3 linked regions of the Saccharomyces cerevisiae S288C genome follow. Changing the gene in region 3 together with the main gene of any one other region gives a genetic interaction. Each region holds a gene or a part of one and is shown on either strand. Other genes may lie near its edges. The genes, in order: KIN3, MCK1 and CLB5.

The links.
Region 1: mutations in CLB5 (region 3) and KIN3 together harm fitness more than expected from each alone (negative genetic interaction), as found in Saccharomyces cerevisiae (4 studies listed by BioGRID).
Region 2: mutations in CLB5 (region 3) and MCK1 together harm fitness more than expected from each alone (negative genetic interaction), as found in Saccharomyces cerevisiae (5 studies listed by BioGRID, with this or other methods).

What each region holds. Positions count from the first base shown.
Region 1 is NC_001133.9:169,846-173,381, forward strand, and holds KIN3 (serine/threonine protein kinase KIN3), read right to left. Parts: upstream 1,859-3,536; coding exon 551-1,858; downstream 1-550. Other genes in the region: ADE1 (phosphoribosylaminoimidazolesuccinocarboxamide synthase), read left to right, coding at 1-450; serine/threonine protein kinase CDC15, read right to left, coding at 2,366-3,536.
Region 2 is NC_001146.8:55,907-59,616, forward strand, and holds MCK1 (serine/threonine/tyrosine protein kinase MCK1), read right to left. Parts: upstream 1,668-3,710; coding exon 540-1,667; downstream 1-539. Other genes in the region: mitochondrial 37S ribosomal protein uS11m MRPS18, read left to right, coding at 2,249-2,902; BXI1 (Bxi1p), read right to left, coding at 2,992-3,710. UniProt on the Saccharomyces cerevisiae protein: May be an autophosphorylating tyrosine kinase, a bifunctional (serine/tyrosine-specific) protein kinase, or a serine kinase that is a substrate for an associated tyrosine kinase.
Region 3 is NC_001148.4:773,543-777,302, forward strand, and holds CLB5 (B-type cyclin CLB5), read right to left. Parts: upstream 1,641-3,760; coding exon 333-1,640; downstream 1-332. UniProt on the Saccharomyces cerevisiae protein: Required for efficient progression through S phase and possibly for the normal progression through meiosis. Interacts with CDC28.

The sequences.
Region 1 (3,536 bases), on a different chromosome or scaffold from region 3:
ATCTTCACCCCATCGACCAAGGCTGAACAAGGTGAACATGACGAAAACATCTCTCCTGCCCAGGCCGCTGAGCTGGTGGGTGAAGATTTGTCACGTAGAGTGGCAGAACTGGCTGTAAAACTGTACTCCAAGTGCAAAGATTATGCTAAGGAGAAGGGCATCATCATCGCAGACACTAAATTCGAATTCGGTATTGACGAAAAGACCAATGAAATTATTCTAGTGGACGAGGTGCTAACGCCAGACTCCTCTAGATTCTGGAACGGTGCCTCTTATAAGGTAGGAGAATCCCAAGATTCTTACGATAAGCAATTTTTAAGAGACTGGCTTACTGCTAATAAGTTGAACGGTGTTAACGGCGTCAAAATGCCCCAAGACATTGTCGACAGGACAAGGGCCAAATATATAGAGGCTTATGAAACATTGACAGGGTCTAAATGGTCTCACTAACGTGATTTACATATACTACAAGTCGCCAGTGTAACTCCTCACTGAATATGATTCATACATACCCGTATGTATTAATGTATAAATGTTCTCAGAGCAAATTTTATCGATATCTTGTTTGCCAGTGGTATGCAGGTTTGGCAAATTTTTTACCATAATATCCGTTTATAGATTCTGGAACCTTACCAACTTTCTTACCGCTAATTACTTCCCTGGCTCGCTCCTCCACTGCCTGGGTAAATTGTTCCTTCAACTGACTCAGTTCTCTTTCGTATTCAATAGCTTGCTTCTCGAGGATTTTTTCAATGTTTGTCAGCTCATTTTCATAGTCCAGTAACTTCCTTTCAAATCTCTCTAATTGCAACGACTTTCTTGCAGTTCGTATCTGAATATCTTGCAGTAATTCAAAAGTGGAAGGCCTGGTTCTTAAGTTCACATCTATCATTGAATGTATTATGGCATTAAGCCCTCTAGAGTAATACTCAGGGACGGTGTCACATTTCCCGTTTTTAATCTTAGTTTGTAGCTCGAGATAATTTTTTGCCTGAAATGGGGGGTGCAACGAACACATCTCAAAAATAACACAACCTAGTGACCAGATGTCGGATAGTGGGGAGTATGGTTGGTCCATCAACACTTCAGGCGACATGTAATATGGTGTACCGACGTATGTTGTGGCAAATTGAATACTAGTTTCCAGAGATTTGGCTAACCCAAAATCACCTAACTTTACCACAACTTGACTATAGTCCATAGGGCTCCCCCTTTTCCCTGAATTCACTCTATGGTCTCTGTAATAATTACTATTCACTTCCTCGTGACCGTCTACTTGTTCATTAATATTGTAATCGCTATCATCATAGCTTAAGAATATATTTCCTGGTTTCAGATCACGATGGATAACGATGTTTTTGCCTTTTACCGGTGGTTTCATCCGGTCATATATTGTGGTCAAAGTTGGCAATTCAACACCATAATGACATTTATAGAGCGCAGTCAATAATTGGGCCAGGATACCCCACACAATTTTTTCTGGTATATATTTATGCTCCTGTTTGTAGTGCTTAATCATCTGGGATAAATCACCCCTGGAACAATATTCCATATAAAGGTATAACACTTCTTTTTGTTCATCGAAGTCCCAGTTATAAAATTCTACAATATTTTCATGCTTCAACTGCGATAGAATGCTACATTCAGCGATCAGCTGTTGTCTCTCTTTGCTATTCATATGGCCATATTTGATATCCTTTCTAACCAAAAGTTTCTTGGTAGGTATATGGATGACTTTTCGTACAGACCCAAATGAACCTCTCCCAATTTCTTCGAGAACTTGGTATTCTGACCTTGGTGGGTGTCCCTGCTGCTGCTGAGGACTACGGTATTCTTGGAAAAACTGTCGTCTATGCATACTCACACAGAGAATTGATTCAATTATCAAATAGCACTCTCATTGAAATTAGTATTGTGAATCTTGCTCTTTTCATGTTATATGATTTGATATTCTTTTGAAAAGTCGCTTTTATTTACGTTTAACCTAATTAGGAAACGTAATGAAAAAATTCAGAAACCTTAAAAAAAAAACTTGGCTGTAACCTATCGGAAGACTGTGCCACTGCAATCATGTCAGATATCGTATTTCAGATTTATTGATCTATAGCTAGAAACATTTAACAAAATGCACTTTGAGTCGTTCATACATTTAATCCCCAATTGAAAAAAAAAAGAAAAGAAAAAAAGCATATATATGTATATGCTTTTTTATCATTACTGGCCTCTTTAAATTCAAAAACTTTTCTGATCTCTTTTCCAAACAGATGCGTTTTCAGTATTGGAAGGTTCACAATTCTATATATAGTGTTAATGTAATGCTGTATTATTTCTCTATATATGTATGTATGCACATGCAATTCCTACATTATGTTTGAAATGTTGTAATGGGGACGGAAAAGCCGTCACTTTTATCTTTGGAGGATCGCAAATTACTACGCTCATCTTTTGTTGGAGAACTACCAATTGCTGCAGTGACGCTTGAAACTTTTTGCAGGCTTCCTTTTTTTGATAATGAACGGATATCCTCACATAGCTGACAGATCAAAACTGAGTCCCCCCCAACTTGATTTGAATTCCTTTTTGGGACATCCTTGTTCCAGTTGTTGTTTAAAAACTCCGTTATTTGTACTAAAATGGCACGAAGTTTGAAAACAGTGGCCTTATTACGACGATTTGGTTCGGTTTGCTTTATAGGATCCGGCTGTCCTGTGTAGTCATATAGCTTCAATAACGATTTTGAGAATATTAGCTTTATGAATTTCAATAGATCGATTTGAATAAGTAAACTGTTGAAATAGGTATCAAAGAAAGAAACAATCTTTTCATAAAAGTTCGGGTGAAATATGATATTAATTGTAAGGTTTTCAAAACCGGGCAATGAGCATATCTTCGTGAAAATGCTAATTAGTTTACTGAGGTTAACGTCATCGTCATTCAATGCATAAAACAGGTCAACTAATTGATCAATCGGTAATTCAATAGCAGCGTCATTGTTGACCTTTATGAGGAAAACACTATGAGACTCTGATGAGCCCACTGTAGGAGCCACATCATCATTTACATTGCGTAACGTAAAATGCAAGCAGTTCAGTATGATCTCCAGTCCACTTATGGAGGTGTTATTCTTTTTTCTGATGAAATTCATAGCTGTAGAAAATAAAGAAGCACTCATTTGGTCCATATCCAAACTCATTTCAACGCATATAGCAGTGATTTGTTTCCAAATGAAAGCTGCTGTCTTTGCGTCGTCGATAAAGGGAATGATGGTATCAATATTCCGGATAAAAGCAAAAAAAGCATCGTTGTCAAGCAGATCATTTAAAAAAGTGCTGTTTATATGTACTGTAAGGTAACAAAGCTTGGTGAAGTACTTTAAAACAGATAAATCTTTGATTTGGGCCATGTCAACAAAAAAAGATGTTAGCCAGGTAAAGAAACCCTCCGGTAATTCAATTAGTAGTCTTGATTTTGAAGATATGGTCAGATGGGGAAAGTTTGAAATGCTCTTGTGTCGCATTGGAGAAGAGGGACGCGTT
Region 2 (3,710 bases), on a different chromosome or scaffold from region 3:
GGTATATCACACTGTTGTTGAAAACTATGAGCATTTTGCTTTCTGAAGAAATGGTTCTGTTAACTAGATGAGATGAGATTGATATATTTGAAAAATTTTAACCGATGACCTTGCGGCTCCTCCGGGTAATACTTTTTTCTCACATAAATATCAAAAAATAACGACGGTATTTCAATAATACTTTTATATAAGTAATGATAACATGCGAGGCAATTTATTACAAGCCACGTAGGCCTAATTAAAATTATAAACTAACACTAAAGTAATAATAATATTTCAGATTAATAAAAGAACAGGAAATAGGAAAGAGATAAAAAAAAATTAGGAACATAAAATAAAAAATAAAGAAGAAATTGAAGGAGTGACTGGATAAAAGAAGTGTATGATAATATCAAATGGAAATTTGAATATATTTTATTCCAAAAAATTTTTTTTCTTTTCCAAGTGAAATATAAACAGCGGATCAAAGGTGAAAAAAATCATAGTATTTTGTTCATTAAATTTTCCGAGGGGAAAGAGAACAAATTAATAGAAAATTATTATTCAGCAACTTTCGTAGGTTTAATTTTATCAGCAAATTCACCCAGAATTTGTAACTCAAAATCATTAAAATCAAACAAATTTGGTAGCTTGATTGGTTCAGTGAAACCTCTTGGTAAGAAAGTGTCATCATTCCTTAATTCATTAAAGAACTGATGGGCAAGGATTCTTCTTGGAGACAGTCTTTGTTGTGGTTCGTAGACCAATATTTTCATCAAAAGATCGATACCATCTGGACCGGAATGGCCAAAATACTTCTCAAACCTCTGTTGCGAAGAGCCCGAGAACAGTGGTTTGGAAAATAGAGGGCCATCGTAGGCCGGATTCGAAAAGAAAATGAATCTTTTATCGGGAGGACCTAACAATTTAGCAATTTCCCTTAGCTGTAGAAGGGGTTCTTGACCTTGAAATATGGCTTTGCCGATAAGCATCTCGCCCATGACACAACCAAGCCCCCATATATCGATCTGGGTGGTATATTGGGTACAACCAATGATCAATTCAGGCGCTCTATAAAATCTTGAACAGATGTAACTAATTGAAGGCTGGTTATGTTCCAATTTTTTGGCAGACCCAAAATCGCAGATTTTCAAGACACCGGTTTCCGGGTCTACAAGAACATTGGATGGTTTGATATCACGATGACAAACGCCAAGACCGTGTAAATAAAGCATCCCGCGGGCAATCTGATAAGTGTATAGCCTGATATGTTTTAATGGCATTTCTAGCTTGTTTGTCACATAACGATTAATCTCGATTTGTAGAGTTTCTGGTAAGCATTCCATGGCAAGGTGTTGATAAACTTTATTATCTTGCGGGGACAAATGAGTAAAGAAATACTGCAATTTAACGATATTTGGATGGTCGGCAATCCTCAGAATCTGTAATTCCCTGGACTTGTACTCGGTATGAGCAGGGACTTTTTTAATTGCAAAGGGGCCCAACCAGTTTTTCTTATCCTGGGTTAAATATGCTTGTACAACAGTCCCAAAGGCACCTCTACCGATTTTCCTGTACTCTTTCACCAGCATCCGCCTCGTGTTGTTCGATTTATTCGAGGTTACATCGTCTGCAATGAATTCAGATCCCCTTTGCAGAGGAACACCATTCTGCTCTTCCGTAGACATATGTACTAGAATGTGATGGAGTGGGGGTTTCGGAAAATAAAAAGAAAATTGAAAGATGAAGCAAAGAACTCTGTAGTCTTGGGCTTAACTCCTATCAATAAACACGTTACGGGCCTGCCCACACTACTAACACGACACAATGGCACTCACTTGCGAAATCTATGTCGTTTTCCCTTGGAGGTTACGCCTGCCCTCTTCCGCATATGAAGGTCGCTTTTTTCAGTGTTGTTTGTGGGTCACTGAACTGTCATTACATACGAACTGAGTGGAAGCAAGAATGCTGCTTTCGAAAGCCACTACAGCTACGTGTGATCATATAATTCCTGCATAATATGGCTGCATGCTTTTTAATGATAGCTTCAATTATGATGATAATCACTGAGCTACTAGTATTCCATTATTCAGCCTAAGATTGGAACTTTCTATAGCAGCGGAGAGTGTTTGTTTCGTACTTCGTGACTGTTTGGCATAATAACGATGAATTGGGAAAGAGGGAAGACAAAATGAGAGTAAATCAGGTGGAAAGCAGTGGTTCTTCTGAAAAGAAAAAGTGACAGTGTGAACTGTTATAGTTACGTGTGATGCTGTTACAACCTGTTTGGAAAGGCTGCCGATGGACGCAGTTTGTCAGGCCTATCAGAAGATGGAATTCTACCGGCACGAATAGAGGAGTTCCTTTTTCATTTAAGGATATTTCAAATCAGGAGGATATCACGAATATCTCGTATCCTTCGTCCTCTGACTCAGTTTTGACAAAGTCAAATGGTAGTAGTGAGGTTTACAAGCCCAAAGAGGAAGTAGTTAAGTACATTCTACATGGCAAGTTTACTAAAAATAACACGCATTTGACATTTTCAAGCGTTGTGGAGGACAAGAACTTTCATAAGAATAAGGGACTTACGTATAATGATACAATGCTGTACTATTTGAACTTACCCCAGAAAGTGAAGATTTCGCTATCTACAGGTTGTTTAGGGTTTAGGAAGGCAGCAAGAGGGGAGTATGAAGCTGCATTTCAAACCAGTGGTAGAATGTTTGAATTGATTAAGGAAAAGAACATGCTGAACAAAGATATCGAAGTGGTGATGGACGACTTTGGGAAGGGCAGAGCTGCTTTTATTTCCGCTCTTGTTGGTAAGGAAGGGGCCAGTGTGGTGAAAAAGGTTGTGAAGATCAGCGATGCCACCAAATTGAAGTTTGGTGGTGTAAGATCACCAAAGATGAGAAGACTATGATCAGCTCCCACTATGTATGAATTATAAACTATGTAAAAGAAGAAGAAATATATATATATTCGTGTAAATAATTCGATTTTTCCCTTTTTTTAATTGTCGTCGTTAGAGTTGGCCAAAATCCTTAAAATAGACAAAAACAAATTGACGATGTCCAGGTAAAGCATCATGGCGCATCTAACTTCTTCATCAGGATACACTTTCCTAAAAATCAGTTGCGTATCGATGAAAAGATACGCGGTAAATAAAATGGCACCAAGCCAGCCGTAAAGCAGATTAAACTTGGAAGAGTGGGTATTCCAGCCGAAAAGCAAGGCCGTGAGACCCATTCCGATCATAATCCATAGACCCCAGTTTAACCAATAGTATATTGACGTTGCGGAATTCAGCACGTTCTCGAATCTCTCTGATAGTGCGGTCAAGGAAACGCCGACTACGACGATGGTGGTGATCAGCAGAGCCGAAAGTACTGTATCCTTATCGTACGCTAAGGTTACCAGCGACAGACAGTAAGCCTCGGAAAGAGTGAAAATGGAGAGCAGCGTGAGCTTTTGCTTGTACGAGGACAAGACGTACCAAGGCAGACGCCTTTGCTCTTGTGCCGGCTCTTCGCTGCTGCCCGTGAGCAACGGTTCGGGAACACTGGCCTCGTAGTCTTCGGGACGAGGACTTACTGCCAGCCAAATGCACGATACTAGCGATACCACCATGCAGATGTAGAAGAGGGCGATATGCGACATGATAAAGTTCTGCAAAGAAGTGGAAACGCTAGCCCAGTAGCAGAACGACAAACTGGCCAGTAACTGGCATG
Region 3 (3,760 bases):
TTCATTTCTTTTAAAATTATTTCAGTATAGTTATTATAATTAACATTGGAATAACATTAATAATAATAATTTTTTAATAGTAATAATGATAATAATAATAATAAAAATAAAAGAATAAATTTAAAAACAAAAAAAATTCTAATATTAATGATGATAATAGTAGTAATACTGGTGGTATTATATATGTTGAAGTGAACACGCATATCACTATAAACTATATATACATATATATAGATAGATAGATAGATGCAAAAAATTTTTTCCTTTTAGTTCAGCAAAAAGAAAAGAAAATGTAAAGAGTATGCGAATTCATGAGCATTACTAGTACTAATCTACTTAAGATTAAATAGATTTTGAAAGTTGCTATGCATTTCGGATGTACACCACTTGAAAGTTTGGAAATAAACAGAGCCATACCTTGGTTTCTTGTACTTCAAAATCAATGAATCTAAATGAGTTTTGGAACTAGCGATGTCTTTGACTAGATCAATGCAGAGAGACTGAAACGCTTCATCGTGTATTGGATCGATACCACCACTGTAATGCTGTAGTGTTCCATTCCATAGCTCGTTCTTGTTTCTGTTGGTCATTCTTCTCGCTATATACATTGCCATTGCGCTTACGGTAGATGGAGGTAAATGAATGAATTGGTGGCAGCAGTAGGCATACTCTAAAATAAACTTACCAATATTTCTATTAACCGGATCGTAATCATCTGCCTTGGAGATCCTCCTTAGGAAATTGAGTGGGTTGGGCCAACCAATGTTGAATTCTAAGGAAGTGAGCATGAACATTTCCGCATTTTTTATGTCGTTTTTAGAAGCCGCGCCGTCAGTGATATAAGCGTATTCAGCTAGTTTGGGCAAATTTACCTCTTCAAATTTTGCCGCGATGAAAAGTGAGGTAACTGCCAATAATTGTAACTTGTTCATCGTAACTTTATTTTTAGCTAAAAATCTATCCATTAAGTTTATGGATAGGAATAACGTTTCCGGATAGCATTGAAATTTTTCGTGCACCTCTACCAGCCAATCCACTAATATTGTTCTCATGGAAGGCCTCAAATAATACTTGGACGTTTTGTCGAGTAAATAGTTGTGCGATGGTAACGTTTCTAATTCTCTTCTATATAAAAATGCAAAAATTTCAGCAGAATATTCTGCTACCATTGCAGTATCATCTTTTTCAACATAATCTAGGTCCTGCCAGCCTACTATTTCACTCACTCCTTCAGCGTCTATTCTGCGTTTTTTGTTCACTATCGAAGCAGCATCATCATCTTCTCCTTCTTCTTCTTCTTCTTCTTCTTGCTCTGCTGCCGTTCGATCGTTATATATCTGTCTTTTTTGAACGGCGCTAACAATAGGTCTAATGTTTTCTTCTCTTCGTACTTTGGCCGCCTTGCTCCCTGCTACTATTCTCTTGTTCTGGCTTAAAGGATTATTGTTCACTGGTACATCTGTTAAAGCCCTTCTTGGTTTAGAATCCTGAACCTGCTGCTTACTAGAGCTGTCATTTTTTGAAAGGGCCCTTTTATTTTGAAGAATCTTTAGGTTTGAATTGCACAACTGCCTCTCATTTTCATTATAAATCATAGAATTTCTTTTAATACTCTGCTCATGGTCGTGGTTCTCTCCCATTGTTCAGTAAAGGTGTTCAGCGGCTTTAAATACAGGGAAAAGCGCGTTACTGCTAATTATTAAGCTTATTTTGCTTTGTGTGAGACAACTAATTGGCCGTGAAAAGCTTTAGGTGATTGAGTCTCTTGAAGTACAAAGACAAAAAGACTTCAATAGATAGACAGAAAAAAAACTTTTCTTGAGAAGCTTAAGAATTAGTTCCAAGTAGCTTCTAATAAACCGATGAACGCAAATGAAGTTCCCTTCGCGGTAGATGGCAGTAGCTATCGGCAGTCACTAGGAAAAGTGAGTTTAGCACAGATATGCTGTGGGCGCTATCCCAATGTGGGCAAAGCGCGTGAACATCACGACGCGCCTTCCCGTTAAATTTTGTACCATCAAGGGCGCGTCTTCACTCGAGATGCGCGTTCTTTTGCTGGTTCTTTTCACTGAGGGCACAGAATATGATACCCACAGTATGACAAGTTTTAATCGAGATAGTTTGACGTTCGTTTTTTACTTTGAATATACTCGTAGTCTTTTTACTTTTTGAGTATAAAAAAAAAATGACTAGCAAAATAAAATTAGTAGTCTAAAAAAGAAAGCTCGCACTCAGGATCGAACTAAGGACCAACAGATTTGCAATCTGCTGCGCTACCACTGCGCCATACGAGCTTTTGAATTATGGTAATTTTGATTATCCTAGAATGTTATATCTCAATATCTCAATATATTTTGGACATCTATGAAACACCCATAAAGCAGCCGCTACCAAACAGACAAGATTCAGTATGTAAGGTAAATACCTTTTTGCACAGTTAAACTACCCAAACTTATTAAAGCTTGATAAATTACTGAAATTCCACCTTTCAGTTAGATTCAGGCCTCATATAGATTAGATATAGGGTACGTAACATTCTGTCAACCAAGTTGTTGGAATGAAAGTCTAAAATGTCATCTATTCGGTAGCACTCATGTTACTAGTATACTGTCACATGCGGTGTAACGTGGGGACATAAAACAGACATCAAATATAATGGAAGCTGAAATGCAAAGATCGATAATGTAATAGGAATGAAACATATAAAACGAAAGGAGAAGTAATGGTAATATTAGTATGTAGAAATACCGATTCAATTTTGGGGATTCTTATATTCTCGAGAGAATTTCTAGTATAATCTGTATACATAATATTATAGGCTTTACCAACAATGGAATTTCGACAATTATCATATTATTCACCAATTAATCACAAGTTGGTAATGAGTTTGATAACAAGTTACTTTCTTAACAACGTTAGTATCGTCAAAACACTCGGTTTTACTCGAGCTTGTAGCACAATAATACCGTGTAGAGTTCTGTATTGTTCTTCTTAGTGCTTGTATATGCTCATCCCGACCTTCCATTTTTTTTTTCTTGGAATCAGTACATAGCAGGTATGAGTTGTTAGAGCTGTTACAAGTTACGGTAAACATTTCAACACACCGTTATTTAACGAATTTATTTGAGAAAGTGGTGTATTTTAAGATATATGTTTGGTTTCGATTGTTGGCAAAGACTATAATATTATGCATATAGGATATACCAAAAATTCTCTCTGAGGATATAGGAATCTACAAAATGAATCTACATTTCATTTTATTACGTCATATATGAATACTAGTCAATAGATGATAGTTAATTTTTATTCTAGCATATATTTAAGTTTGTTTGCGAAACCCTATGCTCTGTTGTTCGGATTTGAAATTTTAAAACTACATTAATGTGTTAGTTTTTCTTTCTTTCTTTCTTTGTCTTGACGTGATTTGGACTTCTGTCTTGCATTCGCGTCCATTCATCTGACCCAATATTCCTTTTGGTTTTGTTATCCTTATAAAAAGAAAGGAAGCTTCTTAGAGGGAAAAAAATGATGAAGAGTAATGCCAAAATATAAATAAATAAATAAATATGAAAATCATTTTCTATTTTTAATAGAATAAGAAGAGCATCTTAAGATTACAATTTCAAGAAATAGTTTACACAGTATATCCAATAACTCCAATAAACTACTTTCCTATACAAATTTCTATGGTGGGATTAATAGTAAAACTTCTGTACTTCTCTAATTCACCAAGAAATTAAGGTAAACATCTGGTAAGCAC